Oryctolagus cuniculus: one gene and its partner. The protein of the gene in region 2 purifies or fractionates together with the protein of the main gene of each other region. This does not show direct contact. Links are inferred from orthologs where the notes say so. Each region holds a gene or a part of one and is shown on either strand. Other genes may lie near its edges.

Region 1 (3,899 bases), on a different chromosome or scaffold from region 2:
CGGGCACCCTGCATGCACTGACTCACTTCATCTGCCGGGAACCCATCACCAACCCCTTCTCAGGGAGGAAGCTGGGCCCAGGTCACCGGCTGGGAGGTGCAGAGCCGGGCCATCTGGCAGGAAAGTCTGCCCCCCGCTAGACTGCCCAACACAGGGGCCTGGTTTCTGAATTCATCTCGGCGAACCGTCAGGACACCATCCGGGCCTGCGGCAAGGGAAACGATGACCTAAAGGGGCCTAAGACGGGTGTCGCTCAGGGGCCGAAGCCCCACCCCTGTGGACAGCAGATGAGCTTTAGGGGAGAAGGGATCAGGTTTGAAAACACCCCATGGGGTCAAGCCTCCGCCTGCAGTGCGGGCATCCCATATGGGAGCCGGTTTGCATCCCGGCCGCTCCACTTCCGATCCAGCTCTCTGTGGTGGCCTGGGAAAGCAGTAGAAGATGGCCCACGTTCTTGGGCCCCTGCACCCATGTGGGAGACCTGGAAGAAGCTCCTGGCTCCTGGCTTCAGATGGGCACAACTCTGGCCACTGAGGCCATTTGGGGAATGAACCAGCAGATGGAAGACCTCTCTCTCTAATGTCTCTCTGAAACTCTGCCTCTCAAATAAATAAACAATCTTAAAAGAAAGAAAGAAAACCCGCACCCAGGAGAGGCAGCATGGACAGCGCTGTCAGCCATGCGCTCCTTGTCTGTGCTGGAGGATTTCCACCTGCCTGCACTGTCTGCCCTGCTCGCTCCCCAGCCGCTGGTTTTCCACACGCGCTGGGAGCCACAGGGCAGCCGGTGCAGCCCCTCTCTCGTGTGCAGAACTCAGGGCACGTCTGCGATGGCATCAAGCTCTTTCCATGTTTATGTGGCCTGGCTTTGCCTCCGGCCACCCACGTGGGTTTCCAGCAGGACCGTCAACCAGCCCACCCTCAGGGAAGGCGCCGACTTCCAGCTGAGGGTGAGCTGTTCATTCACACCAGCGTGAAGCAGCTTCACCCCACCAGGCTTGGGATGCCCACGGTGTGCTCACAGAAACCCACAGGGACCCCTGCCTGGCCTCCCAACCCTCCTTCTCCCGAGCTGGAGGACGTGGGGCTTCCTGGGACTCAGTTTCCCCAACCATGCAGTGTGCATGAATCTGCACCATGTAGCATGACCGAGCGTAAGGCTACAAAGCCAGGGAGAACCAGGGTACAGGAAACTGAATGGAGAAATCCACTCAGCAGGGGTTTTTCCCCGGGCACAAACGTTGCCAGCACTGATCCACACCCGAATGGCTCTCCTGGTCTGATAACACCAAGTGCAGGAAACTTCCGGCTGCTCAGGACCCAATAAAACGGAACTTCCCTCTTGAAAGGCAGGGGTGACCAGCCAGGAGCCCACCCCCTCGCTGCTGATTCCCGAAACCAGTTTCTTCAGGGCTTCTGGGCGGATCTGACCCGACTCTCACACTTTTCTCCCCAGTCACTGTTGTAGAACACAACCCTGCTTTTAACGACTCAGACCTAAACAAACCCAAAGACCTGGAAGACCGCTGAAATCCGCGTGGGCACGACATTGAGGTGGGCACGATTTACCTCTCACGTTAAAAATGCGGATGACTGTTTCCAAACAGCTCGCCCTGTTTTTTTTAGATCTTATTCAAGTTATCTCACCCCACCACCACCACCTGCAAAAGGGCTGTTTTTAAGGCTCACCGGGATTGCCAGGGCCGCCAGCACATTTTGGTAAAGTGTGTGAAGAGCCACCATTCTCGGGAATTTGAAATGATCGCATCCACGAATTTGCCCAGAAACACCCACTTGCGCGCCAGGTGGCTGCCCGCCTAATGTCTTTCCACGTATTTACTCTTTAAATTCACCTCACAAGTGCAAAGTAAGTGTGCCCAAGTCACTCCCATTCAACAAGCAGCCAAAAGCCACTTGGGGGAGGGGGTAAGGGCAAAGAGGGTGCAGCGCCCACGGCTTCTCTGAGACCCCCGGGAAGGCAGCGGCGACCCACACAGAAAACCTGCAAGGCGCCCCCTCGAGGGAGCACGGGGACAGCAGCTGGGGGTGCTGGGCGCCGCGACCCCACGTGAGGGCGTCCCGGGAAAGTTAGGGGCGCAGAGGGTCCCCATGGCCCTGCCCCTGAGGGTGACCCCGCCGGAAGCCCCGGACTCCCCTGTGCGCCCTCGGGCCCTCCCTCTCAGGGCGCCCCGGGACGCCGCGCACCCGGCCGCCGGCTCCGTCAGACACCGGACACCGGACACCCTACACCGCACGACCCCAGCCCCACGCGCCGGCCACCCCCGCCCTCAGCACCCACCTGTGCGCGGCCCTGGGCTCGCCGGCGCGCACGCCACGTCCAGCAGGGCGGCCCCGGGAGCTGTGGTGGAGGCGCGGGCTGGCGCGCGCGAGACGCCGAGGCCCGGGCGGAGCCCAGCTCCCGCCCCGCCGCCGCCGCCGCCGCGCCCACAGGCCGCTGAGTGACGGCCGGGCCGGGCGGTGCGCGAGGGCTCGGCCGCGGGCCTTCCCGCGCACGCACGCCGCGGCGCGGGGCCTGCAGGGGGCGGCCCTGCTCAGCCCCCACGGCCGGGTCCCGCGCGCCCCGCGACTCGCCGCTCTGCCTTGTCTCTTCTCGGGCACTTGTGCGGACAGGTGTGGCTCGGCGGGACGGGAAAGGAATGGTGGAGGCGACAGGGGCAGCAAAGGAAAGAAGCCAGGAGGAAGCTAGCACGGGTGGGGTGGCCGTGGTCTACAGAGTTGTGTGCGGGGAGAGCGGCGGCCTCCCCCGGAGAGGTGTGGGCAAAGGTGGCCGTGAGCCCCGGGTGTGCTCCACGCAGCCTGCCTGGCCCGCTCAGGAAGGCCAGGGAAGCAAGGTCCCCTTGCTACCCCACCCCATGCCCAGCTGCAGAAGGTGCTCACAGTTAGTGGGAGCTTGGAGCCGCAGGTTAGAGAACCAGGCATTGGCAGGAAACAACACCTGGGGATGCAGTGGTCATTCTAGCAGATAGAATTTCTGCTTTAAGGTGCTGACTGTGCAAACACATTGGCTCACATTCGTTCACACCACACACTGTAAACTCCAGCTTCTAACCGCGTCACACCTAAGCTATGGGTTTTGCCTCCTGTGTCACCTGGCCTCCAAGTCCCAATGATCCCCATCTCCTGCGACCCACAGTCTTGTGTAGCTTCCTTCCCATGAGGTCCCAGAGTTGCTCCTGGTGACCCACAGAAATGCAAAAGTAAGGATGCATTACTTCCAGGATTATACTAAAAAAACACCTGTGGCTTTTTAAATACTTGTTTATTTGAAAGGCATAGGGGGAGGGAGCGAGAGGGAATGTGGTGGGGAAGGAGAGATCTTCCATTTGCTGGTTTACTTACTCCCCAGTGGCTGGAGTTGGGTCAGGCTGAAGCCAGGAGCCTATACCTCCATCTGAGTCTCCCAAATGGAGCCACCCAAGTACTTGAGGGCCATCTTCTGCTGCTTTCCCAGGCGCATTAACAGGCAGCTGGATCAGAAGCGGAGCTCTGATACGGGATGCTGGCATCTCAGGCGGTGACTGCCACTGAGCCACAACACTGGCCCCACCTATAGCTTCTGTCTTTTTTTTTTTTTTTTTTTTTTTTTTTTTTTTTTTTTTTGACAGGCAGAGTGGACAGTGAGAGAGGGAGAGACAAAGAAAAAGGTCTTCCTCTTCCGTTGGTTCACCCCCAATGGCCACTGCAGCCAGCATGCTGCGGCCAGCACACTGCGCTGATCCGAAGCCAGAAGCCAGGTGCTTCCTCCTGGTCTCCCATGGGGTGCAGGGCCCAAGCACCTGGGCCACCCTCCACTGCACTCCCGAGCCACAGCAGAGAGCTGGCCTGGAAGAGGAGCAACTGGGACAGCATCCGGCGCCCCGACTGGGACTAGAACCTGGT
Region 2 (3,899 bases):
AACCAAGCTCCAGAAAGCTGAGCGGTGGGCCACTTCCCTTACAAGGCAAGCCGGAAGGTAAACACAGGGCTGAGAGCCGCTGCCTGCCGGGCCGGCATCCTGGGTCCCGGCTGCTCCACCACCAGTGCAGCTCCCTGCTGTGGCCTGGGGAAGCAGCGGGGACGGCCCAGCTGCCTGGGCCCCTGCACCCCCGTGGGAGACCTGGAGGAAGCTCCTGGCTCCTGGCTTCCGCCGGCCGGCTGGGGAATAAGTCAGCTGATGGAAGACAGACCTCTGTGTCTCTCCTCTCCGTGTGGAACGCCTCCAAACAAATAAATACCACCCCCTCCCCGAAGAAAAGCCCTAGCGCTGTCCAGACACATTGCCGGCAAAAGGAAAGAACCGGGAGGCGGGGGCAGGGAGGCGAACGCTGCTGCTACCTGGGGAGGCCGGGCCCAGGCCTCAGAGCCATCTGCGAGCCCTGCACTCCACAGCCACGGCGGGCCCGCGGGCAGAGCCCGGCTTCTCCCACCGCCCGCAGGCGCCAGCCAGGCCTGGGCTCCCAGGGCGGCATCGGGAGAGCTGAGCCCTGAGGCCACGGACAGAGGTCCAGCGACCGACGTGGACAGGCGCCCAGGGGGCCACACGCCTAGGACCAAGGTGACCAGGCCCAGCAACGTGGGACGAAGCCGGGCATGGGGAGAGGTCACAGCTACCTGGGCGAGAAAGGATGAGGTCTAAAGGGAAGCGGACCCAGCAGAGAACGCTGCACGCCGAGCTGGCCAGGCTGGCATCCCAAGCTGCCTGGGCTGGGGCCGGGGCGCCCGTGACAGCCCCACTCGGCCCGGGAAGACCGCCAGACAGCCTGCGCCCCGCACCCACGCGAGGGACCCGGGCCCGGCCGTCACGGCCATCTGCGGAGCCAACCAGCGCAAGGAAGACCGAGTGACCACAGTGTGCCCGGAGGCGTTACCAGCGTGCGGGGCCAGGGGCAAACGGCCAGAACCCCGCCGCCAGGCCGCGACCGGGAGAAAGAGCGGCGACGGCGCGCGGGCCGGGCCAGCGAGAGGGCTGCCGGTGCCCCTCGGCCCCGTGCGGGGGGACACAGGACCGACAACTACCGCCCCGGGACCGCGGGGCGCCCGCCTGCCCAGGCCCAGGGACCTCACCTAGGTTCGGCCACAGTCACACCGCCAAGATCTCCTCAGCCCGCGGGAAGGGAACCGACCCGCACTTCCAGCCTACCTGCCAATCGCAGAGCTACTCTCGTAGATTGACGGGCCCTACAGGCCAATCGCTAGCGCGGGAAGGCGGGACTAGGAGAGCCGGCGCCTAGAAGCCCGCGCTAACGGTTGCTAGGGACGCATTGGACACCCCCCTACGGTGCCTCGCAGGCGCCAAAAGAGATGGGAAAGAGGCACAGCCCCGGACACGTCTACGGGCGGCCTCGTCTTGAGGGCGGGAGTGCCCAGGCAGCTCCTTCACAGGCCCTGAGGCCCGAGGGGCAGGCGAGGCCGCGACGCCCTCCGTAGCCCGCAGCGAGCGAGCTGGACCTCTCGCACAGGCCAGGTCCGCGCAGGGACGCCAAGGGGAAGCCGTGGAACTGGCCTGCAGCTGCTGTACAGCCGGAGCCAAGGCCAGCATGCTCGTGGAACTGGCCCGCACCTGCCGCCCAGCGGCACGCCTATCCCCGGCGCGCAGACCAGCTCTGACTTCGTGAGTCCTGCTCTAACCCCAACGCGTTCTTTCCTAGCCTCTGACCTCCACACTCCTCGGCCTTGGCTGCCTTAAATTACCCGCCCTGGGAGGCGAGGCGGGAGGCAAGGAACTACAGCTCCCATGAGGCGCTGCGGCTGGGCGCCGGGATCCTATTGGCCGGACCCGCTCGGAGCCGCGAGCCCTGATTGGCTGCGCGGCCTGAGGCGACGAGTTCCGGAAAGGGGACGAGCAGCCAATATGGCGGCGGAGCGCGGCGCAGGGCAGCAACAGTCGCAGGAGATGATGGAGGGTGAGCGGCCCCTGCGGGCGGAGGCGAGGGCCCTGCGGGCGGGGGAGCAGCGGCCGGCACTGGCCTCTGGCCGGGAGGAGCTGGGCGGCCCGCTCCGGGCGACGGCCGGGCCTGCCGGGAGGGCTCCGACAGCCCCAGGTCAGGCGGGGCGGGGGAGGCTCGGACCCGGGGAAGCCCGGCCCGAGGGCGGCAGCGACCAGGAGGACCCCGCGGCGCGGGGGCGGGGGCGGGGACGGCGGCGGCGCGAGCCCAGTCGAGGTGACGGCTCCGTGCGAGGCGGGGGCTTCCCGAAGGCGGGCGGAAGCCTCGCCCGGAGCCCCGAGATGGACAGGCGAGAGAGCGGTGCCGGGGGCCCCCGAGGGACCCCCAGGCTGGGGGCTGGCACCTGCTGGAGTCTGCTCGTGGGTGTCTGCGCCGGGGCGTGGAAGGGGCCTCTCGCGAAAGCGAAGGTATCGTGGCGACACCGGCGTTCCAGAAGCCGGGGCCTGTTTTTAAGGGCACCGTGGTTACGAAAAAGACCCCATTCAGCCTTCTTCCGCCTGTACTTTGTTGGGAAAGATGCAGACTGTGTGTGTGTGTGTGTGTGTGCGCGCGCGCGCGTTAACACGGCACGTGCGCGTTGTATACATGCTTACGCAAGAACACTTCAGGAAGTTCGTGGAAAATGGGGTTAAAAAAGAAATGCATTTTGGTGCAAAAAAAATTTTTTTTTAAATTCATGCAGGCCATTTTCATGATAGGCATTTTCCGTGAGCTTTCTGAAGACTGCATTTCTTCAGAGCCAGAGATGGGGTGCAGATCTCTGGAGGGAGGGTGCTGGGCTCGGGGCGGGGTCGTGGAGAGCCCTGCCCGTCAGCCAGGTTGGGGACTGGTGAGTGCGTTCCGAAGACCGCAGGGAGGCACAGGTGCCAGGGAGTCTGACCCAGGGGCTGGAGGGCCTGGACGTCAGGACCCTTGGTAGCAGAAGGGCACCCTTTTGAAGCCCACCCCTGCGCCCTCGTGAGCTGTGCCCACGTCTTGGTGGGTGGCGGTCTGGACCCACACCCCCCCTCGTCTCGGTCCTGAGCCCCCCACTGCCCTCCTCGCTGGGGGTGCTGCTCCTGCTCCTCACCCACCCGGCCCCGCCCCAGCCCCCAGACTCTCACGCCCCTCCCGTCAGGCTGACGTTGACCGCAGTGTGCCCGTGTCTGCCGATGAATAATGCATTAGGCCCCCGGTTCCTGAGGTGCGGGCACGGTGCCAGCTCCCTGTACAGACGGGGAAGCCGAGGCCTGGAGAAAGCACTGGGAAGAGCCACTGGCATTCCAGAAACATCTTGGGGTGAACCGTGAGACCAGATCAGACCCTCCAGCGACAGGGAGCACTCACCTGGGCGGCTGCCCCGGCCCACGGTTACCGCGTGGGGGGCGAGGCGTGGGAGCTGGTGGAGATGGTTCCAGGAGGAGCTACTCAGTCCCAGTGCTTTCCTGGGGGTCACTTGGTGAGCAGGGCCAGGAGGCATGTGTGTGTGAGAGCCCCTGGCCGACGCCCCCGTCCCGTGTTGGGGCCCCAGACTCCCAGCTCCGAGAGGGTCAGCAATGCGGCGATGGGAAAGACTGATTCTCGACTGCCCACCGCTGCCTTGTTCTTTAACTCAGAAAGGCGCAGTCCCAGCCTTTACAGCTGTGGCCCCAGCGCTCTGTCTGGGACAGTTCATGGCACTCAGGCTGTCGGCTGTGTTCCCCGCCTTCTTCAGCCCCACCCACAGTCTGACGAGAGTCAGTGTTTATTTATTTATTTATTTTTAAGATTTACCTATTTATTTGAAAGTCAGAGTTACACACAGAGAAGAGAGGCATAGAGAGAGGTCTTCCATTCGTTGGTTCACTCCCCAACTGGCCGGAGCTGCGCCGATCCAAAGCCAGGGGCTTCT

The links.
Region 1: the proteins of PPP1R7 (region 2) and SH2D4A purify together in Homo sapiens (affinity purification with mass spectrometry; 3 studies listed by BioGRID and IntAct, counting the BioPlex papers as one, with this or other methods). This does not show direct contact. The link is inferred for Oryctolagus cuniculus from reciprocal best matches to the Homo sapiens genes PPP1R7 and SH2D4A.

Annotation. Positions count from the first base shown.
Region 1 is NC_091439.1:3,498,157-3,502,055, forward strand, and holds the start of SH2D4A (SH2 domain-containing protein 4A), read right to left. Parts: upstream 2,456-3,899; 5' UTR 2,299-2,455; intron 1-2,298. UniProt on the Homo sapiens protein: Inhibits estrogen-induced cell proliferation by competing with PLCG for binding to ESR1, blocking the effect of estrogen on PLCG and repressing estrogen-induced proliferation. May play a role in T-cell development and function.
Region 2 is NC_091434.1:527,580-531,478, reverse strand, and holds the start of PPP1R7 (protein phosphatase 1 regulatory subunit 7), read left to right. Parts: upstream 1-1,398; 5' UTR 1,399-1,818; coding exon 1,819-1,987; intron 1,988-2,372; exon of another isoform or gene 2,373-2,412; intron 2,413-3,899. UniProt on the Homo sapiens protein: Regulatory subunit of protein phosphatase 1.